Linked DNA regions of Mus musculus. The protein of the gene in region 2 binds, or shares a complex with, the protein of the main gene of each other region. Links are inferred from orthologs where the notes say so. Each region holds a gene or a part of one and is shown on either strand. Other genes may lie near its edges.

The links. The genes of interacting proteins can lie anywhere in the genome.
Region 1: Dpm2 (region 2) and Pigyl share a complex: the UniProt entries of both Homo sapiens proteins name them as parts of the glycosylphosphatidylinositol-N-acetylglucosaminyltransferase (GPI-GnT) complex. The link is inferred for Mus musculus from reciprocal best matches to the Homo sapiens genes DPM2 and PIGY.
Region 3: Dpm2 (region 2) and Dpm3 share a complex: the UniProt entries of both Homo sapiens proteins name them as parts of the dolichol-phosphate mannose (DPM) synthase complex. The link is inferred for Mus musculus from reciprocal best matches to the Homo sapiens genes DPM2 and DPM3.
Region 4: Dpm2 (region 2) and Pigc share a complex: the UniProt entries of both Homo sapiens proteins name them as parts of the glycosylphosphatidylinositol-N-acetylglucosaminyltransferase (GPI-GnT) complex. The link is inferred for Mus musculus from reciprocal best matches to the Homo sapiens genes DPM2 and PIGC.

What each region holds. Positions count from the first base shown.
Region 1 is NC_000075.6:22,155,374-22,159,382, reverse strand, and holds Pigyl (phosphatidylinositol N-acetylglucosaminyltransferase subunit Y precursor), read right to left. Parts: upstream 2,538-4,009; 5' UTR 2,470-2,537; intron 1,652-2,469; 5' UTR 1,389-1,651; coding exon 1,173-1,388; 3' UTR 1,028-1,172; downstream 1-1,027. UniProt on the Homo sapiens protein: Part of the glycosylphosphatidylinositol-N-acetylglucosaminyltransferase (GPI-GnT) complex that catalyzes the transfer of N-acetylglucosamine from UDP-N-acetylglucosamine to phosphatidylinositol and participates in the first step of GPI biosynthesis.
Region 2 is NC_000068.7:32,569,195-32,574,057, reverse strand, and holds Dpm2 (dolichol phosphate-mannose biosynthesis regulatory protein), read right to left. Parts: upstream 3,201-4,863; 5' UTR 3,149-3,200; coding exon 3,146-3,148; intron 2,853-3,145; coding exon 2,763-2,852; intron 1,762-2,762; coding exon 1,659-1,761; intron 1,100-1,658; coding exon 1,041-1,099; 3' UTR 487-1,040; downstream 1-486. UniProt on the Homo sapiens protein: Regulates the biosynthesis of dolichol phosphate-mannose. Regulatory subunit of the dolichol-phosphate mannose (DPM) synthase complex; essential for the ER localization and stable expression of DPM1.
Region 3 is NC_000069.6:89,264,798-89,268,106, forward strand, and holds Dpm3 (dolichol-phosphate mannosyltransferase subunit 3 precursor), read left to right. Parts: upstream 1-1,663; 5' UTR 1,664-1,809; intron 1,810-1,931; 5' UTR 1,932-1,936; coding exon 1,937-2,215; 3' UTR 2,216-2,282; downstream 2,283-3,309. UniProt on the Homo sapiens protein: Stabilizer subunit of the dolichol-phosphate mannose (DPM) synthase complex; tethers catalytic subunit DPM1 to the endoplasmic reticulum.
Region 4 is NC_000067.6:161,967,469-161,972,514, reverse strand, and holds the start of Pigc (phosphatidylinositol N-acetylglucosaminyltransferase subunit C), read right to left. Parts: upstream 3,328-5,046; 5' UTR 3,236-3,327; exon of another isoform or gene 3,146-3,235; intron 2,289-3,145; exon of another isoform or gene 2,276-2,288; 5' UTR 2,065-2,275; coding exon 1,171-2,064; 3' UTR 1-1,170. Other genes in the region: 4930558K02Rik (uncharacterized protein C1orf105 homolog), read left to right, coding at 4,519-4,604. UniProt on the Homo sapiens protein: Part of the glycosylphosphatidylinositol-N-acetylglucosaminyltransferase (GPI-GnT) complex that catalyzes the transfer of N-acetylglucosamine from UDP-N-acetylglucosamine to phosphatidylinositol and participates in the first step of GPI biosynthesis.

The DNA.
Region 1 (4,009 bases), on a different chromosome or scaffold from region 2:
GACTGTTCTTCCAGAGGTCCAGAGTTCAATTCCCAGCAACCACATGGTGGCTCATAATCATCTGTAATGAGATCTGACTCCCTCTTCTGGTGTGTCTGAAGACAGCTACAGTGTACTCATCTAAATAAAATAAATAAACCTAAAAGAAAAATACAAAAGTAACTTTATAAAGTCAGATTTCTTTCCTCTGTAAAACAATTTTTTTATTAATGTGTGTGTGCATGAATAAACATGCCACAGGTCTGCAGGTGCCCAGAATGAGGTCTGATCCTCTGGAACTGGAGTTACAGGCAGTCGTGAGTCACCAACCTGGGGACTAAGAGCAGCTGGTCCAAGGAACTGCTGAGCCATCTGCCCAGCCGCAGACCCAGGCTTGGTATGTCCAGCTTCCAGATATTGGTTTTTATATATGGCACTACTCCACTCAGCTCCTCTGGGAGGAGTCAAACCTAACACTTCACCATTGACCTTGAAGCGGAAACAAAATCCCAAATTATTTTTGACAGTCTCACTATGCTGGCCTGGACCCTCAAGAGATCCACCTCTGCCTCCCAAGTGTGTGTGTCACCACTGCCTGGCTTCCAAACAACTAACTTTTAAATGAATGGGCTAAAAAAAAGACAGTCCTTAGGGCCTGGGTGCTTGGTTGGCAGAGTGCTGGCTTGGCGTTCCTGAAACCCTGGGTTCCTCCAGCACCACATGAATGGATGTGGAGCTCTTGCCTATAAGTTTAGCACTCAGGAGGTAGAGACAGGAAGGTAAGGAGGACAAGGTCTGCCTCTCACAGCTTGAGGTTCCCCAGAACTAAATGAGAAGGCAATAGGCGGGCAGAGAGATGGCTCAGGGGCTAAGAACATGAACTCGCATCCTTTATGGATGATCTGAACACAGCTCCGGTAGCCTACAACTGCCTGTACCCCCAACTCCAGGGACCCATCACTTGCATGGCCTCCTTGGGCACCCACACTCACATGCGCATACCCACACACAGACACACAATTAAGAACAAATCTTAGAAGAAACAGTCTTTGGATGAAGGCTGGTCGTGTTCCTCTCCCATAAGACATTTTATTGAAAAGTATTTTTCAGCTACAAAAGAATCTGCAACAGCCAGGAACCTCCGGCCATGCCCCACTCCGCAGGCAGCCCGAGCAGGAGGGGCCTCGGCTCCCCTAGTTATGTCTGAAGAGCTTCAGGCCCATCCATGTCCACAGATGGAAGAACACGTACACAGGCACGGTGACCGGCAAGAGCAAGCTGTAGAAGCACAGGCTGCTGGCGCTGGTGCAGCCCTCTGGGAAGCCTTCCTCCACGGAGGCGGAGTAGAGCAGGCCTGCCAGCGAGACCAGTGGGATGAGGACGGTCATGGTGGGCAGGGACCGGATCATCTTCCTCCCTTCTTAAAAGGTTAACTGTCTCAAGAAAACTCAGTTGTTTGAAAAGTTCTGTTCTCGTGCGGGTGCGCTCTTGTCTTATCTTCCCCTTGTCCCGACTCCTCATTCACCCAGGCATGCTTCCCAAGGGCACGCAGAAAGTCCAGGGGTCCCAGGCCGAAGGTGCCGGCTCCTCAGCCTCCGCGTCACACGCAGCGGTTACCAGCGACTGCAGACACCACCTGTGTCCCTCGCAGCGCAGGCGAGAGGTCTTTTAACTGTATGAGAAAAATGCAAGATGACAAGATGAAGGGCAGGCGACGGGAAGGGAGAGGAAAGGATGGGGAAGCAGCCAGTACCAGCACTGAGTAGGTTAGAGACAGGATTGCTGGAACCGGCAGGCTGGCCTCGAACGTTGTGATCCTCCTGCATCAGCCTCCCCAAGCCACCACATCCGGCTAGAAAGAAGCCTTTAAAAAAAGGAGTGTCCTCCAAAACTGCCTATAGTGACCCCCATCAGAGGTATCAGTATTGAGGAGGCAGTGACAAAAGAACGGCTGCCAGACCATGCTTAAAACACTACAAGTGTCATGAATTACTTTGGGAAGTAAGCAATTTGAAAAACAGAATGAAGGACAGGTGGACTGATAATGTTTTTGTGAACTGGGGAAGCGGAATGCGACCTACAAATCCGGGTTCGCTTCAGACATCTGAGTGAGGCTTTCTATACGAGGACTGGCTGGGAACCAGCACCAGAACCTGGGGCCAGGTCACGAGCCACCCGCGGTCAATGCACAGACCGAAGACAGCGCCATCCCTTGGGCGCAGTCGCCTCGGGGACCAGAAGGGGCAACGAGCCCGCTGCAGTCTCTGACCGACGGAGGGACAGAGCCGAGCCGAGCCGAGCCGAGCCGAAGAAAACCGAGCCGAGCCGAGCGGGGCAAGACAGGACAGGGGGAACCCGGCCGAACCGAAAACGAACCAGCCAGACAAACGGAGTCGGCGGCGTCCATGGCGCAGACGCCAAGCTGGCGCGAGTCCCGCCCCAGCCGGTTTCAACAGCTCCTCCGCTCGTATTTCGAGACCCTCAACTCACCGTTTGCAGGCCTGTAGGAGTCCGGTCCCTTCGGCGCCTGGCGGTGACAGTCACCGCCCCACGAAGGCGGGACAGCCCGGCCAGCCGCCCAATCAAATCCCTGCAGGGGCGGGGTGAGGAACCCAGATCCCGCGATGGAGCCGGTCCGCGCGTGCTCATTGGACAGTTCACCTTGCCTTCGCTCCCAGGCTCAGGCTCCGCCCCCGTGGTCTTGATTGACGGGTGAGGCCAGAAAGACTCTGAGAGCACCGGATAGCTAAGGATCCCATCGTCTCTGGCTGGGCGTCCCCTATGCTAGTCCTGCTGGAAGTAGGAGAGGAACGTATTTGCCACAGTTTATTCATGGCGCTCCAGAGCAGACAGTGGGGTCTTTCTGCACTGAAAAGCCTTCCCCACTTTTTTTTTTTGGTTTTTCGAGACAGCCCTGGCTGTCCTGGAACTCACTCTGTAGAACAGGCTGGCCTCGAACTCAGAAATCCACTTGCCTCTGCCTCTGCTGGGGTTAAAGGCGTGCACCACCATGCCCGGCTGCCTTCCCCACTTCTAATTGATAAACTTGAATCCTGAATCGCACCTGGCCTCAGCCACTATCATCTATCCTCTTAAGCAGCGGAAAGATGACTGATACATTATTTTACGTATGAATCGGTAAATGGCAAAATAATAGTTTGTGCTGATGAGATGGCTCAGCGAGTATAGGCGTTTCCTGCCAGGTCAGACTACCTGAGATCGACCTTCCGGTACCCACATGGTGGAGAACTATTTTCCTCTGACCTCCACACATGTATTGTGGCACACCTGAGTGTACTCCCGCAAAAAGTGCAAAATGAAGTTTTAAGAGAAAATGTAGCCAAGCACACTCCTAATCCTAGCACTCCTTAGGCAAAAGCTAGCGGATTTCTGTGAGTTCGAGACCAGCCTGGTCTACATAGCAAGTTCCAGGTCATCCGGACTACATAGTAAGACGATGAGTGTGTGTGCCTTGGGGTTGGGGGGAGGGACGGTGTTCGTAAATGCTGTCCACGGGGCCGGCCACTGCCTTGCCTAGTGAGGCAGTGTTATCTCTGATCCCAGCGTAAAGAAAAATGAGGCTGAGCTAGGATTCTGCACAGTACTGCACAGGAAGCTCCATCCCTTAATCTTCCCGCAAGCTAAAAGATCAGAAAGTTTTTCTTCTCAGAGGTAAGTAGTGGTATAGAGTCCGTGCAGCTTCTGTTGCAACCACAAGGTGGCAGGAGAGAGCTGAGGACAAACCATCCTATGGTTTACACAGAGCAAGTAACAAACATTTTTTAATTTAAAAATTTAAAATCGGAACAAAAAATAGCCAGCAAGATAGTTCAAGAGGTAAAGGCACTCACTACACACGCCTGTGAAAAGGCCAGTATTGGCGCAAGATACCCAAGACCAAGTTCTTAGCGTAGAGGGGTTTTGCCCCAAAGTTCAAAGGGCAGGGAATAAGAGCCAAAGACAGGAGATAGAGGATGAGGGAGAAGGGGGGTGGGGGGGGTCACAACAGACAGGATGATGACAGCACAGC
Region 2 (4,863 bases):
CCTGAGAAGTGATACACTTTCAGGCTGTGTGGATGCCAGATAGGGGTAGATATCCAGGGTAAGGGACACAAGCTTAAGCTTCTAGAGAGGCATCCCAGGGGCCTCTTAAATATGAATCGAGGGGCTGGAGCTGGAGATATCTTAGGAAGAGTGCTTGCCTAGCAGGCATAAAGCCCTCATGACATGTGGTATCTTAACCTTGGGGATATAGAGTCAAAAAGATCAGAAGTTCAAGGCCACCCTCAGCTATGTAGTTTAATGTCAGACTGGGCTACACTAGGCCTTAGCAGATGCGCCAGGCTTCTGATTCTCCGCTGTGACATTTCCCGAGTAAGAATCATATCTATCCCAGTTCCAGTTTTACCCTGTGTCTGACATAGGGACATCGCAAATGTACAACCTGAGGTGCCCTCATTGCACAACTCAGTAGCATCTGAGCCTCCTCTAGCCAGTTTCCCCAGAGCAAGGATGGCAGAGAGACAAACACCAACGCAATTAACATTTATTTGTAAGTTTTCCCAAACAGGCCAATTGTGGTCTAGTGTGGCTGCCTGGATGTAACCCTGTGGTTCTGGGGTTTGTCAGTCTTTCCCCAGGGCTTCCTGGGTCCAGAAGTCCTCATGGAGCCTGGGAAGTGTCAGACTCGGAAGAGCTGCCTTGTGACGGGACAGGACTTGTACAGAGAGGCGGGAAGGCCTGCTCAATCCATCAGCACAGTGGGAGGAGCACAGAGGTGAGAGGAGAGAACTCGGTGGAAGGGACAGGGAGCTTTGACTGTGAGATGGACAGGACCAACCAGCAATGTTCAGCCTCTGAGCCTAAGGGAAGTGAGAGGCTTCCCAACCCACCTTTCTCTTGGCTTCTAAAAGGATGACCAAGAGAGAGAGGGCTCCAGGTTGTCAAACTGAGAAGAAAACAGCCCCATGTCCCAAAGAGGGCTGCAGTGCAGCCAGCTTGACCATCTTGTAAGCTGTGACCCTTGGTCCCTTTTCTGGAGGAGATATGGAGAAGGCCCCTACAGCCTCATCCCTGCTGGACCTTCACTGAGCCTTCTTGGTTATCTTCTGGCTCTTCAGCATCACATAGGTGATGAACAATCCTGTAATACACAGAATAGGAGGGACTGGGAGGATTGGAGTGGAAGCTAGGTGGCCAGGCATGCAAGGTCAGGCTCCCAACCAACCCCCCTAGGGGTGCATCTTTGCAGTCATTCACTAGGTCACACAGCCACTGAGGGTCAGTTAACTATCACCAAAATGGTGCAAGGCTAACCACCTGTGCATCATCCGGCCATGTGGTTCCTCAGTCAACCCAAGCACTCTTTTAGGCTCCTGGGCTAGAGCTTAGAATAGCGTAACAGCAAAGACACAGTTCCCAACCCACAGAGCCGTAAGAGATGCCAGGGTGACTTGAGGCAGGAACATTGAAGAGATGAAGATGAAGCTGAGACAGGAAAGAAAGGGGAGCCATGTCCTCATTGCCCCAGGAACCTGAAAACTGGGAACACCACTAGAGGAGCTTCTGCCCGTGGCCTTTAAGGAATAGGAAAGCCCCGGGGAGCATTGGTGACAAGGAGAGTCTAAGCAGATGTACAGCAGGTGCCAGCATGTGGAAGCACGCTGCCTTCCAGACACCCTGCCCCAGATCGGGAGACTTACCCACAAATAGGAGCAGCAGGAGGCCTGCGGCCAACGGGAGGAGGACGGCGTAGGCGCGGGGCAGGAAGTATTTGTGGATGACATGCTGGCTGTCAATGAATGGCTGGCACCAAGGGCAAGAGCTCTGGTGAGTACTGCTCACCTTACTCAGCCCCAAAGGGAAGCCGTCCCACCTCCCCCTGGCAGCACTGGATACTGAGGGCCCACCTTGATAGCATCCCCAAGCGTGGATATGTATCATAACAAGAGACCCACCATATTGTCTCTGTATTGTTGAATACTGCCTGGGCCTTGTGAGTGCTGGAAACCATCCTTTTTGATTTCTGAGGCCCTGGCTGACCTCACCAAGCTGCCCTCCCCCCTTCTTCTGCCTTCTGAGAACTCTAGGTCTTTTAAAGAGGTCTTTATTTTTTGATCATGCATTTGTGCCTGTGAGTCCAGGTGTACTTTCATCCAAGCCCTGGATCTCCAATCTAACTCCTAACACAACTTAAGCAGCAATGGCGTTCCGTTCCAGGGACTTTTGCTGGGTCTCCTGGAGCTGGAGTTACAGATGGTTGTAGCTGGCCATGTGGGTGCTGGAACTTGAACCCCAGTCCTCTGGAGAATCAGCCAGTTCTCTTCATCACCGAAGGTCAGCCCACCTAACTTTCCTCTCTGAAGGATACCAAGTACTGCAAGATGCCCCTTTCCAAGCACAGTGTACTTTAAAACAATAACTAACAAAATTTCCCACATTAAAGAGAGAGGCAGAGAGAGAGAGAGAGAGAGAGAGAGAGAGAGAGAGACTTGAGATGTTAATAAACTCCACCGGCGACTGCTACACCCAGGAACCTGCTGGCTAACCAGGAGGACAAACACAAAATAAAGCCTCACTGTGCGGCAGTTCAGAGGCTGAGAAACAGCCTTCTCCCCGAGTCTTAGCCTCCTCATCTATAAAATGTAGACACCATCTGCAAGCACCATAGTGTAGATTTCGTGAGATTAGAGCTAGCTAAACATCCAGACGCTGGCACACAGACGCTGATTAAGTCGCGTTAGGAAACTGGCTTAGAGATCCAGAGCAAAATGAAGGTGAGCGGGGTGGGGGTGGGGCACACATACCAAGAGAATCACCCAAGTGGTGTAGTAGGTGAAGATGATCAAGCTAACGGCGACAAGGCCAAATCCTACTGCTTGGTCTGTCCCGGTGGCCTGGAGAAAAATAAAGGCTCAGCAGGCGAGATGGCTCGTGTACAAGCACTAACGGAGGGTCGGAGCAGCCGGTTTACACTCCAAACCTCTCATTCATTTAGAACCACGGAGGGCTTACTAGAAGTGGCTCTCGGGTTTAGAAAGCCACGTCAGGCCTCGTGTCACCTGTCTGCAAGCGGTGGAGAGAGCGATCTGGGTTTGGAGAGCCCAACTCCATCTCCCAAGGAGACTCTTACTCAGAGCCCCGACCCCTGGTACCCTCAAATCACACATGTACTCCACCCCAGGCTCACCATCTCTCCAGCGTTCCGCCGGAGCAACAAAATACATCCGGTTCCTGGTTTAGGCCTTTCCGGCTTGTAAATCACGTGACACGCGGAGACTCGTCTGAGCTGACGTGCGGGCACTTTTCCCCGCCCTCCAGTGCATGTCGGGAAATGTAGTTTCTGCAGGGAACTGTAGGGCCGGGAGCTCAGACTTTCAGGTTTTTGTGGCTACATCCCTGTCAGACCCTTCCCAAACAATAATCATTTAAACATTATCCTACAGTCCCAAGCCAGAGTGAGATGTACCCCAGAGTTGGAAGTCCCGGAAAGGGATAGATCATAATGAGTTGGTTGTTGAAGCAGACATCAGAATTCAAAGGCTCTACATTCTGGCCTTGAAACTGTTAATGGAAGAGTCTGTATAGAATGACCACCACTGGCCTGGCCTATGAGAATTTCCACTGGTTGGCTTCCTAGGGAACTTTCTAGGCTTCCCTTCATTGTCCACTGCCAGAGGTTTCAGAATGGCCCTCTTAGAACCAAGGGGCGCTGGGCCAAATTATCTTTCATGCTTTTCTTCTGTTTCTCACCCAGAACACTACTCTCATGGCATATGGGGCTAGCTGCTGTAGATCCATTCTTCTCCAAATGCTACACCATGCAGGTTATCCATTTCTGCAACCAGAGGCAACAGCTCCCTCTTTGTGCCCTGACAGGTATTTTTAACCAGTTTCTTCGATGATTAGGACCAAAAGTGGGGCTTTAAGATCCCCGAATTGATGCTGGGCATGGTGGTGCATTTCTGTAGTCCCAACACTCTGGAGGCATGAGGAGTAGTAGGTCTCCTTAAACCTCATGGCTAAAGGAAACCTTATAAATACCAAATAAAAACGTTTTATTCTTTCCCCAAAACCAGAGTGAGACACCGTCTCAAACAAGAAGAGGTTCAGGAGTAACAGGTGTTCTCCGACCTTTGTCAAGTGCCCATTCATATTCATACAAACATGTGTGGACATATATGTAATATGTATGTGTGTGTTTGTGGTGAGCATTATGACTGGGGTCAGACTGGAGAACACTAACCTACTTTCCCCAGCATGTCATCTTACACATACATGGCTAACTCCTGTTAGCAGCCCCCAAGTCAACACGGTGATGAGAATGAAAAGAAACACCAACAAAAAGCAGTAACAAAAACATCGGCATTTAATTCCACCCCCAAACCAAACATTGACACTAGGCTGATTTCCCCATATGACATAATTTTCTATTATAAGCTGAGACAGATATGAACAGCCCACGGAATGGGGTGCAGTGGTAACCTGGTTAGAAAGGAATAACACAAAAGCAAATTCTCCCCACAGAAGAAGATGGGCCTGCTCATCCTGCCAGACCACGTGGTCAGCTGTAGGGTAACCAGAAAAGAACCCTAAAAATATTGCAGATCTTTTATATCTCTCTAATAGAAACATTAAACTGTCTTACAGGTCCCAAACTGGCATTGCATAGACCAATTCCTTTTCAAAAATACCTCTAATATATCCTCTATCTTTGTATATAGAATTTGAAGTCCAGGTGCTCTGGGCACCCGTGGGGATCACTGAGCGCAGGAGGAAAGGCTCTTAGCCTCTGGCTGCCACCAGTGTTCATTTGGTTGTGGTCATGTTTTCAGCTAAGTTATCCTGGCCCAGTGCCTGGAAGCAGAGGATGTGGCAGCTCTCGTCTACTGGAGTGGCCATCCAGTC
Region 3 (3,309 bases), on a different chromosome or scaffold from region 2:
TTTATTTTACATGGATGGGTGTTTTGCCTGCATGTATGTCTGAGTATGTGTCTGGTGCCTCGGGAAGTCATAAAGTGTTGTCAGACGCTCTGAAACTGGAGTTACAGATGGTTAAGGACATCATGTGGGTGCTGGGAATGGAGCTCAGAGGATCCTCTAGAAGAGCTGCCAGAGCTCTTAACTGCTGAGCCATTTCTCCAGCCCCTCTGGATTCCCTTTTGACATACCAAAGTAAACTAAATTTCCAATCCAGCTACAAAGCTTTGAACAATGGGTCTTTGAACATTTGTTAATTTTTATTTTATGTGCACTGGTGTTTAGCCTGCACGTGAGTCTGTGTGAGGTCTTGGAGTTACAGTCTACTTCTGTCCCCGCTTTGTGATTTCCAAGTGGACCCTCAATCCACTCAGACTAGATTTTTTTCCCTTTAAATCAGGGCCTTCCTTATGTAGTTCATGTTGGCCTTGAACTTGGAGCAGCCCTGCCTCCTGAGCCTTGGGATCATGTGGATGTCCTCAGGACTTTTTCACTCCTCATTTACTCGTTTTTCCAACAACAGAATTGCTTTAAGGAAGGTTTGGTAACACACACATTTAATTCTAGCACTGGGAAAGCAGAGGCAGGAGTAACAAGGGTTCAGGGCCATCCTCAGCTACATCCCATGCTCTAGGCCAGCCTGGAATACATTACATTAGACTCTGTCTCAAAACAAAACGAATACCAACCAGGCTGGAAACAGCTCAGCTGTTAAGTGTGCTTGCTGCTCTTCCAGAGGACCTGAGTTTGGTTCCTAGCTCCAGTGTCAGACAGCTCACAACTACCTGTAACTCCAGCTTTTCTGGCTTCTGCAGGCACCTAAATGTATCCAGTATACGCTCAGATAGACACACATATGCACACATAAATAAAGATTTAAAACCCAAACAAACCAAAAATCAAGCCAAAGAAAACCCCCTTGTTTTATTTAAACTGTTATTGCTACCTAAAGGCAACCAACCCCTTTTTATTAAAAAAAAATTTTTTTTTTATTTTATGCACATTGATGTTTCACCTGCGTGTATGTCTGTGTGAGGGTGTCAGATTCTCTGGAACTGGAGTTACAGGCAGCTGTGAGCTGTCATGTGGGTGCTGAGAATTGAACTAGGATCTTCTGATAGAGCAGCCAGTGCTCTTAACTGCTGAGCCACCTCTCCATCCCCTAGCAACCAACCCTTTATCATATCCTGTAATGGTCATGGTCTTCTTTCTTCTTCTGTTGAATTGCCCTGGAATCACAGGTATATGGGCCTGTGATTTGCAGTTCAATTTGACATGACCAGCCTATTTCTTCAAGACAGGATCTCAGACTGGAGTTCAAGTTTATTCCGGGTACTCTGTAAAATCCTGTTTCAAAATATAAAAGGGCTCAGTGGTTGAGAACTTGCCTAGCAGGTGTGAGGCGGCCTGTTCATGTTTGCTGATTGATGGGTGTGTTGGAAGAATGCTTGAATAATTGAATGAGTGGGCTTTCTGCACTGGAGAATCTAGTTTAAGGGGGGCGATGTAACATTCCCATCTTAACGCAGCGTTTCGGGGTATCCTCCGATTGTCCACAAGTTCCAGCCGGTATCGATGTGGGTCTCCAGAACAAAACGGCAAAAACTCTTCTGAACTCAGATTTTCGAAGAGCAGTGTATAACCAACCTGGATCTGAGCGCGGCCGAAATTGTCCTAAGAACTACAGTTCCCAGAAGGCAGCCCGGAAAAAGGGCGGTAGTAGAAAGGGACTTCCGGATGCTGATGCGGGCCTTGTCAGCGCGGCACACGGAGGTACGCTTAGGTGGCGGGCAGAGTGGAAAGACGGAAATGGGTGGCGGAGACTGGGAATAAATGTCAGATGCAGAGCGGGGATCGGTAGAAAGAACCCTTAGCTTTGATTTTTCTCCCTGCAGCCAACATGACGAAGTTAACACAGTGGCTTTGGGGACTGGCTCTCCTGGGCTCTGCCTGGGCTGCCCTGACCATGGGAGCACTGGGCTTGGAGTTGCCTTTCCCCTGCCGAGAGGTCCTGTGGCCACTGCCTGCCTACCTGTTGGTCTCCGCTGGCTGCTATGCCCTGGGCACGGTGGGCTATCGCGTAGCTACATTTCACGACTGCGAGGACGCTGCCCGAGAGCTGCAGAGCCAGATCGTGGAGGCCCGAGCTGATTTAGCACGCAGGGGGCTGCGCTTCTGACACCTAAACCCATTCCAGTCTGGACATCTTTCCTCATTCCGCATTAAAATGCAGTTTTATTTTCTAATCTTGTGTAGTTTTGAGTATGGAGGATAGCGGTGGGGTGGGGGGTGGGATGGGGATTCTATATACTAGAGGTCAAGAGGTGAGGGGGCAGGAGAACCACCTTACCAGGCCTTACTTAGCTTTGCATTTTGATGGTGTTCTGTTCCCTTCTCAAGATTTTTTTTCTGTTTGAAATAGGATGCCATGTACCCTAGACTGGCCTTGACCCCAGCCATATGGCTGTGGATTATCTCGATTCTAACGTCTCTAATTACAGGCTAAACCCACCATGACTAGACTAGTTTATGTCATGCTGGGCTTCAAACTTGGAAGTCCACAACTGAACTATATCCCCAAAACAGGTTTGTTTACTTGTGTATATGGTTTTAATATATATGGTTTTAATAAGTAGTTCAACCTGGCTTACAACCAACCCTGTCGTGCTACCCAGGCTGCCCTCAACCTGTGGTCCTCCCGCTTCAGCTTCAACCTTGGAAGTGCTGCGAGGCTTCCCATACAAGGCTGCGCAGGAAGCATGGGTCCCTAACTTCCTTCCATTCTTCACAGCTTTCAAGTTGGTTGTTTTTTTGTTTTGTTTGTTTGTTTTTTGAGACAGAGTTTCTCCATGCAGTCCTGACTGTCCTGGAACTCACTCTGTAGACCAGGCTGGCCTCGAACTCAGAAATCCGCCTACCTCTGCCTCCCAAGTGTTGGGATTAAAGGCGTGTGTCACCACTGCCAGGTTTCTTTTCTTTTTAAAAGGACTTCCTGGATCTTTCTAACTTCTAGTTGTTTTTTGTTTTTTAAAGATTTATTGCCGGGTATACAGGGTGAGTTCCAGGACAGCTAGGGCCACACGGAGAAACCCTGTCTTGAAAAACAAAAAAACAACAAAAAATATTTATGTTATGTGTGTGAGTACACTGTAGCTATCTTCAGACACACCAGAAGAGGGCATTAGATCCCATTACAGATGGTTGTGAGCCACCATGTGGTTGCTGGGAATTGAACTCAGGACCTTGGGAAGAGCAGTCAGTGCTCTTAACCAC
Region 4 (5,046 bases), on a different chromosome or scaffold from region 2:
AATTTGTCCCATCTTTAGACAAGATGGATTGCTCATCACCAGCAGCAGGGTCCAATTACTTGATCAACAGAGCCGAACTCAGTGACTCAAGCTCCCACTCTTTCGTTCCTCCCCCAGATCTCTGTGACTAAATCCCATCACGTTCCCATCATTGTGCTTTGACTATCATATGTAGTCACATCTTGCCTGCAAATGTTTTTGTAATCTGAATTAAATTTGAGACAGTTCACAAAGTATATTCATATTACGAATCAGAATCACAGTTACTGCAATATTTACTTTCTCTGAGCCACAGGTATGACTCCCAAACTGAGTAGAAACAACACTTTTGGAGCGGTAACAGCTGCCCTCACTGGGCACACTTGCTTGGTCCATAGTTTTCCATTCTCACTAGTATTACCTATCTGTTTCTCAAAGGCTTTCACCTGCTATCCTCCACGAGTAAATTAAATGTCACCTCTGGTTTCCTAACTGCCTGAGATGAACTCACCCTCCAGCCTCTTTCATATCGCTAACGTTTTGTTTCTATGGCATGTAGCTCTCCTTGAGTGACCACTTCTGTGGTATTGGACAACAAACTGGATGCCACCATCAGGGATTCTCAAATTTGGGCTCTAGATATATAAAGGTGTCCCTTAGTATACACAGAAAAGGCTAAACAACTGATTACACTTTTACACACACACACACACCTTCATACTACTTTTGTCTTATGCTCTCATAAAAATGAGACAGGGCCAGTGTGATGGCTCAGCTGGTAAAGGCCTGTTGCCAGGGCCTGAATTTGATGCGTGGGACATACATACTGGAAATAGACAAACCCCCTCTCTTATACACACATAAATAAGGGTTTCCTTGTTTTGTTTTTTTTAAAATACTAGACAATGCAATGGATATTACTTTTTTAATAAGCAGAACCCACATTACATCATTTGTTACAGGGAATAAAGGACAATAATTCATAACAGCACCAGAAAGCTTTTTCAGTCACAAAATAACTGAAGGACAAGCACCCTCCCCTAAGCCCTTGGTTAAATGCTTTCTTCTGATCTCAGCTCTACCATCTAGATCAGTCGGCTGCTTCAAGAGTGGACCCCTGCCTTTAAATGTTGCACCGGTTAGGCTCGAAGTCTTTCCGCTGGTCTTAATAATGAAATGAAGGTCCCTAGATTAGCTAAGGAACCTAGACAAGTCTTCCTTGATTTCAGCTTCATCCCAAGGCCCGTGAATATTTTCCTTAAAAAGCTGCAGATGAATGAGGTAGTAAGGGCAGAGACAGGAGATGGAAAACAGCAGGAGAGCAAAGAGTATGGCTCCCACAGCACTAATGGACAGAAGACCTCCAAAGGCAGAAAAGGCAAAAAGCAAAGTGACCCCTACATAGCTTCGCGGGGTGTACGCCTTCAGTTTCTTCTGTAACATGGGCCACAGTGCAAAGATCTGGATAGCAAACGTCACCATAATGAAGGCGTGGAGTGACCGGGGGAGGCGTGAGGCCAGGCAAACAGAAGCAAAGATGGCCATGTTCAAGGACAGGGTGCTGGATACAATAGCAGCATTGGCACCGTAATCAAAGAAGATGAGATGGCCTAACAGCATAAAGACTGCCATGGCGTAGATAGTGTCTGTACTGACAGACTCCGTCAGGGTCTTTAGCACAGGTGAAAAACCGTAAGTGAAAGTGATAAAGACCAGAGTACTCTTCAGGTCGGCCCACCGGGTCCGCCCACTCTTCTTCCGTCCATCACCTCCATCGATAAGATCGAATAAAACATACCCAACCAAGGAAGATGCCAGTCCGGTCCCAAAAAGCCACTGGGGAGCCAGAAGACCCTCATCCATGTACCACCAGATCACTACAAAAACACAGACACTGCACAGCTGCTGTATCACCACACTGGACTCAAATACCACAGCCCAGTACTGGTACTTCCGGGCATAGATGTTTTTCCGGAGTTCTTCCAGGAACCTCTGGTCAACATAGTTATCAGGGAACGGCTGCCGCTCATATAAAACCTTCTGCCACTTGACTTCTGGGGTGTCTGTTACACGTTGAGCACACATTATCTCATTCTTTCCTCAAATCCAGGTTGGCTCAATCTCCCTCAGGGACGTCCATGGGGTTCTGGTTCTTGATAAATCTGTAGATTAAGAACTCTCTGGAAATGCCATGCTGATACCCTACAGAACTTTCCTTGTTTACAAAGCCTTCAGTACAAGCTGAGCCTGCATTAGATGAGTTTGTCCTGAGGGTCAGGACAACACAGCTAAATTCCTAGAAGAGAGAACTGTAAATATATGGAAGCTGGCATCAGATACAATAAAAAACAACTTGGCTTACTGAAAGCCTAGATAAATTGTGTCTGGTGACATAATGCGGCATTAAGCCTTCACATTTTAAAGTGTAGTCTTAATAATTGATATCTGCATCTAACTCAGAATGTTAAATGTCTTATGCACCTTCTTTAACTGTCACAGCCTTACAAGTTAATACCAGTTATGAGTTTACCTAATAAGACATCTGAGTTTCAAAACAGTAGAGTATTTAGGTCCCAGGCTAACAGCGTGGAGCCAGACCTCCTACAAAAGTCTAGTGTCAAAGTCTCTGCTTCTGGTCGTCCTTCTCTAAGCCAGTCTTAACTTGGGCATTCATACACTCTAAGGTTTATACTATTTTTGCATGATTATATTTGCAACTTACGCAAATTTATAGGGACAGAATCCATCCATAGCCGTTACTAGGTCCCCAAAGGTATCTGAATAAGTTATCGGTCGAATGACAATAACCTGCACCGTACAAAAGGGCATGATCTCTCTATAGTTTTAGCCCAAACCAAGAACTCAAATCTTTTTTGTTCATTAGCTGAACTTACTATCCTTTAAAGTGCTATATCATCCTAATTAACTGAAACAGCAAAACTCTAGCGCAGGATCAAGAAAACAATCATCCCAGTCGTAAACACAGAGGTCATTCAGCAAATTCGAGAAAGAACTTCCTGCCGGACCGTCTGTATTTTTCGTGGAGGCTAGGATAGACCTTTGCTTTAAAAGCCGTACACCCTGGAGTCGGCCCTCACGCACTGGGACCTCGGGATTTGAAAGGTCCCCGTCACCGGGCGGCGAAGGGTCTTGGGCTACCACTCACCCAACCGGCCTGCCCCGCCCGCCGCTGCCGACCCCCGCCCCAGCCTTGGATCAGCCGGAAGCGCTCACAGCGAAGGACGCCGGAACCCACCTGCACCAAGCTCTTTAGGGGGGTGCACGACCGAGAAGAGCGGCCGCCTAGCTACTTCTACATCCGGGACGCCGGCTTGGAAGGGGACTACTGTGGAGGAGCACTTCCGGATCCGCAGCACTCGGCGGCCAAAGCGTCCCGCCCCGAGACTCCACACCGCGAGGTCACTGCTGCCCTCTACTGATTGCTCCTCTCCTGGCAATCTGCTCCTAGTGGAATGCTAAGCCTGGGAAGCAAATCCCTCAGTGGGAATTACTTCACAGGGTGTGGAAGGCAGGAGAAGGCAGGAAGAGTCGCGGGGCTGGTGGAAGACTGGTAACTGCAAGGTTACCATGACATGTGTTGACAGGCTCTCAGCCAAGGGACTTTCCATGCATCCAAACCCTCCTCCTATAGGTGCCAAACCAGGCTTCTGGTATTCACCAAAAAAAAAAAAAAAAAAAAAAAAAAAAAAAAAAAAGGGGGGGGGAGTCGGGGAGATCCCAGATCTCACATAGCATCCTGTGCGTTGACTTGCACAGAGACGATGCGATCATTAGTTTGTTTTTGACCAAAGTCAGGCAGCTGGTTAGTAATTGCAAGTAGATCAGAAATATCCAAATGTGGATGGCTCCAAAGCTGGATCCTTTCCTAGACTTTGCCACCTAAAAGAGATGAGGGTGGAGAGCCTTTGGGACGAGAGATTGCTGATTTTCAACTGGGGTCTTGGAAGTGTCACAGGATTTATAAATAGATGGAAGCTCGAAGAATTTAAAATATAGAGACTGTTAAATAGTGTGGACACAGAGGCAGAAAGCATGAACCCATTTATTCATATTCACACTATCTGGGCTTTGAATTCTTTGTCTGTAAAAGAAAGAAGGCGCTTATTTGTTCTTGGCCACCTTATGGAATGGTTGGAGGACTCTCGTGTTAAAATAGTTTGCAATGTATTGATTGCTGTGTGGTTGCTGTTAGCTTACTTTGCTTATTGTAATACCAGCACTGGTCAAGTATTTTAACTTTTTTTTAATATTTTGTTTTTAATTATGTCTACATATGTGCTCCTGACTCCAGGTGTCTGTGGAGGTCAGAAGAAGGTGCTAGGTCCCCTGCCGCTATAGTTACAGGCAGTCATGAGCTGGCTTGTGGGTGCTGTCAACTAAACCTGGCTTTTCTCCAAGAGGAAGGAGTGCTGTTAGCCACCAAGGCATCTCTCTGGCCCTGTGACTCCCTTTAAGATTTAGTCTTCGGAAGTGTGATAAACTCTGCAACCTGATCTCTTTCCATTTCTCTCTCTGTAGGCTTTTGTTCCAAAGTTTGACAAGATTCCTTGGCTGAGTGAGGCCAGCCTGGTAAACAAACCATTGATCCTGAGCATCCCCAGAAGGTAACTTCCCAGCTTCTGAGGACAGAGCCTTCGAGGCAGAGCTCAGTGGTTGTACTCTTAAGGTGGAGAGGTGCATGTGCCCTGTTGAGAAACCAAGTCGAATGCAAAAAAAAGAAAAAGAAAAAGAAAAAAGAAAGAAACGCCCTGGGTTTCTCAGACAAAGGTTATGCTATGTAAAGGCCTGGCTAGAAGAAATGAGAGCCGCCATAACCTTCATTTCTGCGTGTACTATTCAACCACAGACACTGTAACTCAAAACACTTCCATAGTTTCCCCCCACCCCGCTTCAATTTCTAGTCTTCGAATTCTAATTATCAATAACCTAGAACTATAACACGCCATCTTTATAGAGTAGCAATAGCTGTATTTCACGTGGGGCCTCCTCCAGTTTCATGGGTCGCTCATGCCCTCACAAAGCCAATAGATAACACATTTCTGATTT